Nothobranchius furzeri: one gene and its partner. The protein of the gene in region 1 interacts with the protein of each later gene in a biochemical or structural test. Links are inferred from orthologs where the notes say so. Each region holds a gene or a part of one and is shown on either strand. Other genes may lie near its edges.

What was found. The genes of interacting proteins can lie anywhere in the genome.
Region 2: of the proteins of cdk9 (region 1) and ctdp1, one has a biochemical effect on the other in vitro, tested with the Homo sapiens proteins (3 studies listed by BioGRID). The link is inferred for Nothobranchius furzeri from reciprocal best matches to the Homo sapiens genes CDK9 and CTDP1.

Annotation. Positions count from the first base shown.
Region 1 is NC_091742.1:88,948,431-88,954,270, reverse strand, and holds the start of cdk9 (cyclin-dependent kinase 9), read left to right. Parts: upstream 1-1,950; 5' UTR 1,951-2,054; coding exon 2,055-2,095; intron 2,096-2,234; coding exon 2,235-2,348; intron 2,349-2,885; coding exon 2,886-2,967; intron 2,968-4,985; coding exon 4,986-5,076; intron 5,077-5,162; coding exon 5,163-5,329; intron 5,330-5,406; coding exon 5,407-5,578; intron 5,579-5,657; coding exon 5,658-5,840. UniProt on the Homo sapiens protein: Protein kinase involved in the regulation of transcription.
Region 2 is NC_091751.1:1,630,339-1,636,095, forward strand, and holds the start of ctdp1 (RNA polymerase II subunit A C-terminal domain phosphatase), read left to right. Parts: upstream 1-2,464; 5' UTR 2,465-2,673; coding exon 2,674-2,969; intron 2,970-3,859; coding exon 3,860-3,943; intron 3,944-5,757. Other genes in the region: adck5 (uncharacterized aarF domain-containing protein kinase 5), read right to left, coding at 1-17, 89-180, 1,731-1,754. UniProt on the Homo sapiens protein: Processively dephosphorylates 'Ser-2' and 'Ser-5' of the heptad repeats YSPTSPS in the C-terminal domain of the largest RNA polymerase II subunit. This promotes the activity of RNA polymerase II.

The sequences.
Region 1 (5,840 bases):
ACAAAAAATATCCAAAACAGAAAAAACAAACAGAGACTCAAGATGCCGGAACAGTTTCCAGGCCAGACCGAGGCTCTACTGAGGCCTTTCCATGGAGCTAGCTCTGTGGTCACGTGGGTCTGATGCTCATTAATTATACAGAATTTTAGGCTTTTAACACACTTAAACAGAAGAGTGAGAAAAAAATTCACCCCCCTCAGAGTTGTCATGAGTGTAAACTAGATCATTTAAACCAAAAACATGTTTTGGTACCAGGCTGTAAACATGTTTATTTCTGCTATGAAATTGGTATTTTTAACATGGGAGTCAATGAGGATTTGCTCGCTTCTGACACCAGCCCCTAGTGGATGACGGTGGAACTGCAATTTTTGGTACTTCCGGTAGTCTGGGGATCAAATCCCACCCGGGCCCTCGTTTCTCCACCTTGCCACATTTAGAAAACTAGAAGTAAATACAAATAAAGACACTGGATATACGCTTTACGTTAGCATCCACCATCAGCGTCTCCTGGCTAGGACCTTCTGTCACATGACTGCAACTCTACTCGGCTTTCACACATACGTTTTGGAAAGACATCAGCAGTTTTGTTAATAAATTCTTGTTCGTTAACACCTAAATGTCGTCGTCGTCGTCTTCCTCCGCTTATCCGGGTCCGGGTCGCGGGGGCAGCATCCCAACTAGGGAGCTCCAGGCCGTCCTCTCCCCGGCCTTGTCCACCAGCTCCTCCGGCAGGACCCCAAGGCGTTCCCAGACCAGATTGGAGATGTAACCTCTCCAACGTGTCCTGGGTCGACCCGGGGACCTTCTGCCGGCAGGACATGCCCGAAACACCTCCCCGGGGAGGCGTCCAGGAGGCATCCTGACCAGATGCCCAAACCACCTCAACTGACTCCTTTCGATCCGGAGGAGCAGCGGTTCTACTCCGAGTCCCTCCCGAATGTCCGAGCTCCTCACCCTATCTCTAAGGCTGAGCCCGGCCACCCTACGGAGGAAACTCATTTCGGCCGCTTGTATCCGCGATCTCGTTCTTTTGGTCATTACCCAAAGCTCATGACCATAGGTGAGGATTGGGACGTAGATCGACCGGTAAATCGAGAGCCTGGCTTTCTGGCTCAGCTCCCTCTTCCCCACGACAGATCGGCTCAGCGTCCGCATCACTGCAGACGCCAAACCAATCCGCCTGTCGATCTCCCGATCCCTCCTACCCTCACTCGTGAACAAGACCCCCGAGATACTTAAACTCCTCCACTTGAGGTAGGACCTCTCCCCCGACCCGGAGTTGGCAAGCCACCCTTTCCCGGTCGAGAACCATGGTCTCAGATTTGGAGAATCAACCTAAATGTTTTCTTTATAATTCTAATTTGTTAATAAAACACCATATTATCTTTGTTTTGTAAAAAATGTGAAACTGCATAAAACCAACATCAGACTGACAAAAAATAGAACAGTTCTTACATGTGAAGCCATATCTGTTTGTATTAATGGGGACTTCGTCTGTATATTTCCTTAGTTGTTATCTAAATACATTCTTTGACTCAAAATATTTCTTGGTGTCTTTCAGTAAACTTCTTATATTTTATTTTGCCCTATTTCATCAACATCAAGAACTTTTGAGGGTCACCGTTTATCATTTGCTTATATTTTACATTTCCTTTAGAAATTCAAACATATTTTCTCCAAAAAGTGTTGATTTTTGGACTACAGGACTACAACCGCTAAGACTACGACCGCAAATTTGTTCTGACCAATTAAAATCAAACGTGATAACGTAACTTCCGTAAGCTTCATGTTCAGCCAATCAACTACTTTGACGTCATCGGCAGTCGAAGGACCCCGAGCCGGTTCTGCACCCGAGCAGATCCTGTACCGACACCGGGGCCTGTTTATTCGGGTGGAAAAAGTTGATTTGGGGGTGAGTTTTGGGTTTTGAACGTGTCCTTGGGGGACTTGTAGTTACATCTGCTGTCCAGTTGGTGGCAGAATATCCTCTGTGGTTTGTTTCCAACCCTCCATTAAACAGAAGAAGAAGAAGAAAGGCGAACGTCAACGCAGTCATGCAGCGGGAGAAAGCTAGCAGCGCTGGCGCGGCTGAAAAGTAAGATTTCCAACTACGAATTCGCTCATTTGTTATATATGTTTTATATTTAAGTTTTTGGGTATGTCTGTGTGGTGTGTCTTGGTTTTTCTGTCTATAAGTTTCCTGATATTCAGTCTAACCTCTTTGTCCCCACCAGGCCGGACCGCGAGGCCGCCATAATGTCCAAATATTACGACGGAGTGGAGTTTCCTTTCTGCGACGAGTTCTCCAAGTACGAGAAACTGGCCAAGATAGGACAGGGAACCTTCGGGTGAGACAGACGTGTTTGAGACGTTTCATTGTGCGGTAAAGTGAACGGGTCTGTGTTTGTGCTAGCGGTGCTAGCTGATGTAGCATCGGCCATGTTCTGGCTGTGTTGTGCACACAGAGGAGGGCTAGCTCTGTTTCAGGGTCTTTAGTTGCAGCAGGGACGGAAACTCAGTAAAGATCCAAAGAAAAACCATGATGGACCGTCAGGAAGACCTAATTCGGGGTGCCAACTGGCACTGGCGGGCCGGTATAAAGCATGTTTTAGCGGTTTCTCTGCTCCAACACGCTTTAGTGGTTAAATCACTGTACAGCAGCTCATCAGGCTCTGCAGAAGCCTGTTAATCACCCGCTGATTAAAATCAGGTGTGGTTAAAACTAAAACATGGGTACCCCTGCCTTAAGGGGTTACAGGTAACTGGATCAAGACTGTTACTGATCCTGATTTCTAATGTTTACTCTGAAATTAGGGTTTGCGCTTGTCAATAACATTTAAGTCCTTGTTCTAAAACAGGATAAACGTGTGTTTGTGTCTTTTCAGGGAGGTGTTCAAAGCCAAGCACCGGCAGACGCAGAAGAAGGTTGCTCTGAAGAAAGTCCTGATGGAAAATGAAAAGGAAGGGGTGAGAGACGAGAACCTGGTAGCTCATTTAGAGATGTTGAAAGACTTTACGTCAGTTATGATCTGAAGTGTGAAGCTGGCAATCATATGGGTCTGAACAGCTGGATGTTCCTGGGCCTCAGAGGCTCGAACTAGAGCTGATTTCTTCATCACCACCGGCTCTCACAGCATCCGCGTCCAAACCCGCCTCTCCATGTTAGCTACCTCAGTTGAACTCTCCATCTTCTAGCAGGTTAATGTGGTGCCCACAGTTTTGTCCTCAGTCGCTCGCCTTGCTGAGATTAGCATTGGGACCCGTGGGATACCAGTCCCATTGCAGGGCTCTAATTGGATCCCCACTCGAGTGCGCTAAAGCTTAGAACAAGTGAACAGGGTTTAACGTCCACCACAGTGGACCCACGTGGTCGGTATTGGTTGTGTTGTGTCTGGGCAGTACCTGATACTGGTACGGTCATGGGTGCATCCCTGATCCACGTCCCAGAGTGGCCCCTGCTCTCCTGCAGCCTGAAGAGAGCCTGAAACAAGACAGATCTGAGTTTCTGTTGCTGCTTGTTGTGGTTAAAATCACAGCTGAGATCAAATCAAAGATACTTTATTAATCCCAGAGGGAAATTAGAGTTTCAGTACACACAATTCAGAGATCAGACACACATGGGCAAGACACATGACAAGAATTGGTGACTGTGGTCATTCGCAACCCTGAGTCGCGCTACCTTAATAGAGATAAGAGGGTTACATGAGGATTGGTTCAGGTGGAGGGAAAAAAGGCACTTCAGAGCTACCCTCCACAGGGAGGGCAGCTTTGCTCTGCAAAAAAACACCTCAGACATATAAGCATGAACATCAACAGTCCACAACATGAGACTCCCAATAGGAAGGCGGGGTGGGGCTGGGATCCTTCTTCCCCCAGCGAGAGCAGCCATCAGATGGGCCATTCCCATCTGTACCGGGTCAGCCTGGGCCAGGTAGCCCCAGTCGGCCCCAGCCTGGCCCGGTTGATTCCACACACCCTTTCCTTAAGCCCATGTGGGCTGATTCTACCCACCAATCAGAGGCTTGCTCTAATGGAAGGTGTGAATTTGCTGTCAGCAGTGGGTGTGTTGGCCCTGGTCGGCCTGAAGCAGACCCCCTCGAGAAGAGGGCTGAGAATGAGCCTTGGTTGGCCCGGAAAAATACCAGGCCACCCAGATATGTAAACAACCTACGCTACCCGGCCCGGGCCGACCCGGTACAGATGGGAATGGCCCATAAGGCGCTCATCTACTGTACAGTCACAGGTGGGAGGGAGATCTTGGGAGGCGTGAAGAGCACATTGACTCCTCCAGCTGATGACCTCGCCAGGCTGAAGTCCACCAATTGGGGGGGGGGGGGGGGGGGGTTCACAGCATCTAAAGTTAAAGTCCCATTAGTTGTCACACACACAGGTGTGTGTGCGAAATTTATTCTCCGCATTTGACCCATCCCCTGCGGGAGCGGTGAGCTGCAGACAAGCCGCGCTCTGGAACTATTTGGTGGTTTAACCCCCCAATCCAACCCCTATGCTGAGTGTCAAGCAGGGAGGCATTGGGTCCCATTTTTTCAAAGTCTTTGGTATGACCCGTCCAGGAATCGAACCCCTGACCTCCCAATCATTTTGACTCTGGTGAAGCTGAAGAACACGTTAGAACTTCTCACTGGTTTGAAGGTGGTGGGGTGAATGCTGGAGAGCTCTTATCTGAGTTCAGGATAGAAATATGTGGTGCAGACATGACAGGAGTCTTTCACTGAGGCTCCTTCATTCAGTCTGGAGAACTTCAACAGCTGGGTAGATGTATTGATCACCACTGATGATCAGCTGTGTGAAGGTGGAGAACCATTTTCATGCACAGATGGAGACATGAGAGGGACGACACCGCTGTCTTAGATTACAGCTCACTTTGGTTAAAGTAATATGAACATAAACAAATGACCCGAGTCGTCTCATTAATATCACCGCGTGGACCGCATCTCCAGCATCGCTCAGTCTTCGTTTCGTTTCAGTTCCCCATCACAGCTCTGAGGGAGATCAAGATCCTGCAGCTGCTGAAACACGAGAACGTGGTGAACCTGATTGAGATCTGCAGAACCAAAGGTTAGTGGCTTCAGGCCGGATCTTCAGCTGCAGGAACCATCTGCTGCTGGAGCTGAAGGTGACACCCAGTGTTTTTGTTGTTGCAGCGACCCAGTTCAACCGGTACAAAGGCAGCATCTACCTGGTGTTCGACTTCTGCGAGCACGACCTGGCCGGGCTGCTGAGCAACGCTAATGTGAAATTCACGCTGGCAGAGATCAAGAAGGTGATGCAGATGCTGCTGAACGGGCTGTACTACATCCACAGGAACAAGGTGAGACCGATCAGAAGCAGAACATTAAAGACCCGGTCTCAAGTGGGCCCGGTCCTAAATCGTGTGTTCTGGTTCAGATTCTGCACCGAGACATGAAGGCCGCCAACGTGCTCATCACCAGAGACGGCGTCCTGAAGCTGGCGGACTTTGGCTTGGCTCGGGCCTTCAGCCTGGCTAAGAACAGTCAGGGGAACCGCTACACCAACCGGGTCGTCACGCTCTGGTACCGACCTCCGGAGCTGCTGCTGGGTATGAGCCTCTCTGGACTTCTGAAGGAACGTTCTGTAACAAAGAACCCTCTAACAGAACCTGGCTCTGTGTCCTTCAGGTGAGCGGGACTACGGACCCCCCATAGACCTGTGGGGAGCGGGTTGCATCATGGCGGAGATGTGGACCAGGAGTCCCATCATGCAGGGGAACACCGAGCAGCACCAGCTGACTCTCATCAGCCAGCTGTGCGGCTCCATCACAGCTGAGGTCTGGCCCACTGTGGACAAGAAGTATGAGCTGT
Region 2 (5,757 bases), on another chromosome or scaffold:
CTCTACGTTTCCGCTCCCTGGAAGGGTTAAAACAGTTCTGTTTAACTAAGGAAGAGGATTGTTGAGGGTATAAAACTCTCTTTGACACCTGAGTGAGCAGAAGGATCTGGTTGTTTGGAGAGGCAAACCATGATGTGAAGATCTTTGTAGAAGAGCCAGGTGGTGACTGCATATTCTTAACTGGGAAACAAAAAAACAAAATCCTTTGTAACCCAGCAACACACAGGTAAGCTGATAGTGAGAAAAGATCAGATTAGTAGGTTTGGAACAGGGATTCAAGCATGTGTGCATGTTTATATACTGAGAGGGATGGGAATGGAGTCCCATCAAGGCCAGTCCGGTGTTGTTTTTGTACGCTGACTCAACACGGGACAAAATGTCTTTACTGCTGACAAATTGATTTACAGATAACGGGGGGTGCCAGTGACCTCCACATCAAAGGTGGTTTTCTGTCGGTCCAGTGACACCCTCGCAGGGTGGCCAGAGGGGGCCATGGCCACCCCTAGAAAACTGTTGGCCACCCAATTATGTTTTAGTTAAAATGTATTTAAATGTTATTAAATTCTATAACAATTAAATTGGAAACAATAATTAAAATAACAGCATAAATTGTCTTTTTTTCTAAAATGTTTCTATTTCTCGGATTTTAGGTAAAAGTGTTTTTAATGAGAGAAATTGAAGGCACAGAGCAATGCGCAGCTACAGGCTAAAGCCTGATTCATGCTTCTCCGTCAGAGCGGAGACACGCAACACCATTATCCGTCCTCGCGGGCCTGCCGGAGAGCTCCGCAAGGACGGACAGAGTCTAGCTCTCTTTTCTAAACATCCATCCGTCGAGACGGACAACGCAAGCTTGTGATTGGTCAGGACGCCGCTGTTGTCTACACCGCCGCCACTGCGCCCTCAAAAACATAAAGAGAGCCGAGCGGCAGAAGCGGAGCAGCTTGAAGAATACCTCGCAAAAAAAAACCTAAAAATATGAACGTTTAATCCCCCGTGACTGGAGGAGTGAAAAGATGCGCAGCAAGCGTTTTATTTGTGGATGGAAATGACAGGAAACGTGGGTTTCGAGGTGGCGAGCGCATGAAGAGGTGGAGGAGAATGAGAGACAAATATGTCCGTGTTAAAAAGTCTCTTATATACAAAAAACACAATATAAACACACTATCTTGGACCGATACATGACAGGATACCACAGAACAGCGCTACGCCCTCTGCTGTCCTGGCGGGGAAGTGCATTGCAACGCTCCACAGGAGACGGAGAACATCTCCGTGCGTGTCTCTCCCTGTTGGAGCTGATGGAGAAGCATGAATCAGGCTTAAATCCTCCATTATTTACCACAGGAACAAATTTGGTGCCATCTCAAATTTTGCACTGGCTCCCCTCGAAGAAAACTTTCTAGGAGCGCCACTGCGTCAGGCACACATTTAGACCCTTGAGGACCACAGATGTACTGGACCAATCAGGAGCTCAGAGTAACGAAGAGACAGTTTTTGTTTAGTTGCCAAACTGAGATGGAACTTCAAACAACAGATGTTTTAATGCAGTGAAATATGAATAAATAAATATATTAAGTTGAATTAAATGACTATCAACTTGCACATCTAGCTTTACTAGTTGCATAGCTTGATGATAGCTAATAATCGTTAGCTGTTAGTCAACAGGTTAATATCAATGACTATCTTTGCCAAAACGATCTAGACATAGATTCAGATTTTTGTTTATTTACCACTCCAGAAGTCCCCCATGTCATGCTTCCCTCTGATAATATTAACACCCTGCTCACAGCCGTGAATTCTTGTCAAAGAGGTCGCCAGCAGTCTGAGAACCTTCTTCAGCTAACACTAGCATGACTTTTGGTCAGAAGACTGGAGTGCAAGAGAAACCGCACCCACCCACTTCCGTTTTCGTCTTCTTATTTAAAAATAAAATCGTGGAATCCGCTGAGTCCAATATGAGTGCATGTCCTTATTTTATACAGTTGGTAAACACGCACAACTTTCTGTCATTTTGAATTGTAAACTGGAATAAAGTGCACAGAAGTAAGTTTGAAAGTCCAGTGTAATACACGGTTTTGAAGACCAAATGTGTGATCCATTGAATTTTATCAGCGCTTTTAATTTGAAGGGCAAGTAGAAAAGTGTCCCGTTCTTCCTGTCCGCCTGCTTACCGGTGTCATGTCGAAAAAAGCACCCTAGCCATGAAGCGTAAGATTTGACGTCAGTCCAAAATCTGCAAAGATTCTATTACTGTGTGCTTTTCAGTGTAAATACGATCATCTCACTTCTAAACAAAATTAAAATTACTCCCCGTAAAATGTGGTGTTTTAAAAATCGTATGTAAAAAATATGCAACACAACCTGATTGACATCAAACTTTCATTCAAATGTTATTTTCAAACCTTTTCCCTGACCAGTGTGACAGGGATACACTTTTCGGCAAACCCCTAGCTTTGCGACGTGCGTCGCTGCAGTGTTGCGCTTTCCTGTTTACGGGCGGGAAGAGCGAACGAGACAGCAGCCACGGTGTTTAAATCTCCAGGACATTTGTTTTATTGATCAAACACGTGATTCGTTTGCTACATTGACACACTGGCCATCGCGAGGTGGGTTTGATACGTATAAAGTGGACTGGTGCAGAAAACGAAAGAGGTTCTGGAGACTGCAGGACAGATGGAGGATCCTCCTGCTGATTCTGGTGGCGGCGGCGGCGATGCTGCTGCGGAGGGCCCCGCAGTGCAGGTGGCAGATATGTGCTCTCCCAGCGGGGCTCTCCCTCTGCGGCTTCTAGAGTGGAAAGTCAAGCCCGGATCTCTGGTTAACGTGGACTCTGTGCTGGCACTGTGTGCTCCCATGCCTCGGGAGAAGGGGACGGGGGCTGCCAGGCTGCCCGAGAAGAAGGTGAAATCAGACCGTTCTGGAGTAGTGAAGGAGCTAGGTTGTCAAGTTGGACAAATCATTCCTCCAGGGTGAGTCGCTCTGTTTACTACAGCACACCCCTTCTAAGAAAATCTACAGCCAAACAAATAAAAAAAAGTTTTGAAAATACTTTTTTGAAAGCATCCCTGCTTGAACGTCAGTTAGCCAGTAGCTAACACGGCTAACTTGATTAGCATTGTTGCTAGTAAGTTAACCCTAAAACAACAGTTGTCTTGGAAGTAAGAGCGGAAGTTCGTATACGTCAGTCTCAGAATTGGTTTTAAACGTCGTATTGTGAATTTATCCAATATATTATGGAACATGTGTGGAAATAAAAGTGTGTGCGATCACCGCTGCTGTAAATTCAAAGCTGCGTTTTTCAAGAAGAGCAGGCGATACTTTTATTTTGAAAGCACCACCATGCTGGGCAGTGTTGTGGTGTGTTTGAGTCAACAATCAGATCAATATAGGAAGAAAACAACACGTTTGCACAGTGCTGTCAGGGACGTTTTCAGGTTTTAGACAGTCAGGAAACAGGAAAATCATTACCTCACTCTTCATTTACTGATATAAACCTGAAGTGATGTAATTATATTATTGCCTATTCTTGTGGCCTTCAGGTGCATTTTGTAAAATCCTACTTCAAACAAAAAAAAAACCATGCTGTTTTTTTATTTGCAAACATGACAGCTTGATACTAATCAGGATTTAACTCAGCCTTAATTGTACTACAATAAAAGTGTTGCCTTCATTGGATGAATCAGCTTTATTTAATTTAATTCTAATTACATAGCAGCACCAGTGTGTGTGTAGCCCATTTATTTGTAATAGTGTAAATAGAGACAAACATCTATATGAGCCACAATAGCTGAAATACGTGTTTAATAAACATGTGGGTGCTGTAATAATTGTTTTATTCTCTCACCATCTGTCTTTTTAGTGGTGTCATCGTCAGGATTGAACAGTGCAGCCATCCCATTGTCATGAAGGGCTTGTGCGCCGAGTGTGGCCAGGATCTTACTCAGTAAGGACACATTGACTCAGAATCTACTTGTTTTCAGCTGTTGCTCCTCCTTTCCCAGTTCCAGATGTGGATGGACATTGTTTCTGTTTAGTTATTGTTGGACACATGCTGATCATTTAAAAAAGTTGGTAAAATAGGCTGAATAAATGTCATGTTGCAGCGAGAGCAGTGTTTGGTACTAGGGCTGTCGCGGTAACCGCAAAAATGAAATATCGCGATATGAAGAAGCCCACCGCGCTGCATCATGCGCCACCGCGATTACTGAACTTGGTTCAACTCAATGATGCATGTTGAGAAGGATGGCTGCACTGGTATCAAAACGAAACGTTACTTCGCTCCTTTGGGAGCACTTTGGTTTTCAGTACGTCAGCTGCTGCGCAGCCAGAGTCCTTGGCCGAGACAGAGCTGCCACCAGCGGCAAAAATAAATAAATAAATAAATGCTCGGAGACCTGCTGAAGTCCCGGACAAGCACTGCTTCTGCAACCGTCCCGAAGAGAGTTGGAGCCGAGCTGGAGCTCACTCGCTACCTGCAGGAGGAATGCATCCACCCTAAAGAAACCCCCTGACATGGTGGAGCAACAACCGGGAGAGATTCCCTTTGCTCGCCAGAGTCGCACGCAAGTACGTGTGCGTTAGCGCAACGAGCGCACCATCCGAGAGGGTTTTCAGTGTTGCTGGAAATGTTGCCACCCCTCTCAGATCCTCTCTCAAACCGTAGTTAACATGCTGGTTTTCCTTGTAGGTAACAAGGACGTGGCCGAGCTATAAAGCACCGTCATTCGTGTGTGTGAAAGTGAAATGATAGTGCGCCCGCCCCCCGGCGCGCGCGCGTGCGCCCGGTACATGTAATTTTTTATGCTTGATTTTAAACAACTAAACAAAATGGGGACTTGTTTCTTATTTGTTAGATGCTGCAGCCAAATTTGCATTTAAAAGTTTAACCTTCTCCTGAATTTTGTTGTTTTTAAGTTCAGTCGGACTCCGACTGTCGGAGAAACAAACGTTACTGCGATCTGTGTTGTTACTGCCCTTTGATCTGCATTCAGTAAAGTGTTATTAAAGAAGGCACGGCAATTTTTAACCTTTTTTAAATGTGTAAACATTATGTTTAGATAGTACTGCAATAAAAAAGGGCTGCAATAATATCGCACACCGCAATATTAAGCCACCCTGAATCACCGCAGGAGGAATTCCTCAACCGCGACAGCCCTATTTGGTACTGGGTGTTGTTCTGTGTGGTGCCAGCGGGTGGCACCAGAGATCACACATGGATGTTAGGTGACTTTGATGCATTTCAAGGATGTTTATATAATTTCTGCAAGGTTAGCATGTTACATATATTTAACCAAAAACAAGACTCAACACCGAGTCGTCATATAATCTGATACATGGCTTTTGCTACGCTGGGTACAGCAAACACCCAGGTGGTAAGGGTTCATTCTTCCTCATCAGACAATAATGAGTAATAAAAACAACATATGAGGGGAAATTATGTTATGATACTGAATTGCCATTTAAAAGCAACGGATAGATTTTTTTTGAGAATTTACATGCAAACATTAACTATTTATTTTGTGTGGTGCATTTCAAACTCCGACTGCTAGGTGGCAGCAGTGTGTACCACCTTCATTCTGACGGAACAACCAGATCTCGCGATGACACGAGCTGTGTGTTGGAAGTGTGTGAACCGAGTTTTCCAGTTAAAATTTTGGGGGGTTCATTTACAATTAAACCTAATCGATCAATAATCAAAATAATGAAATCATAAAAGTCTCAACTGTTTTCAAACACGCTGCTGGTAGAACAAGAACA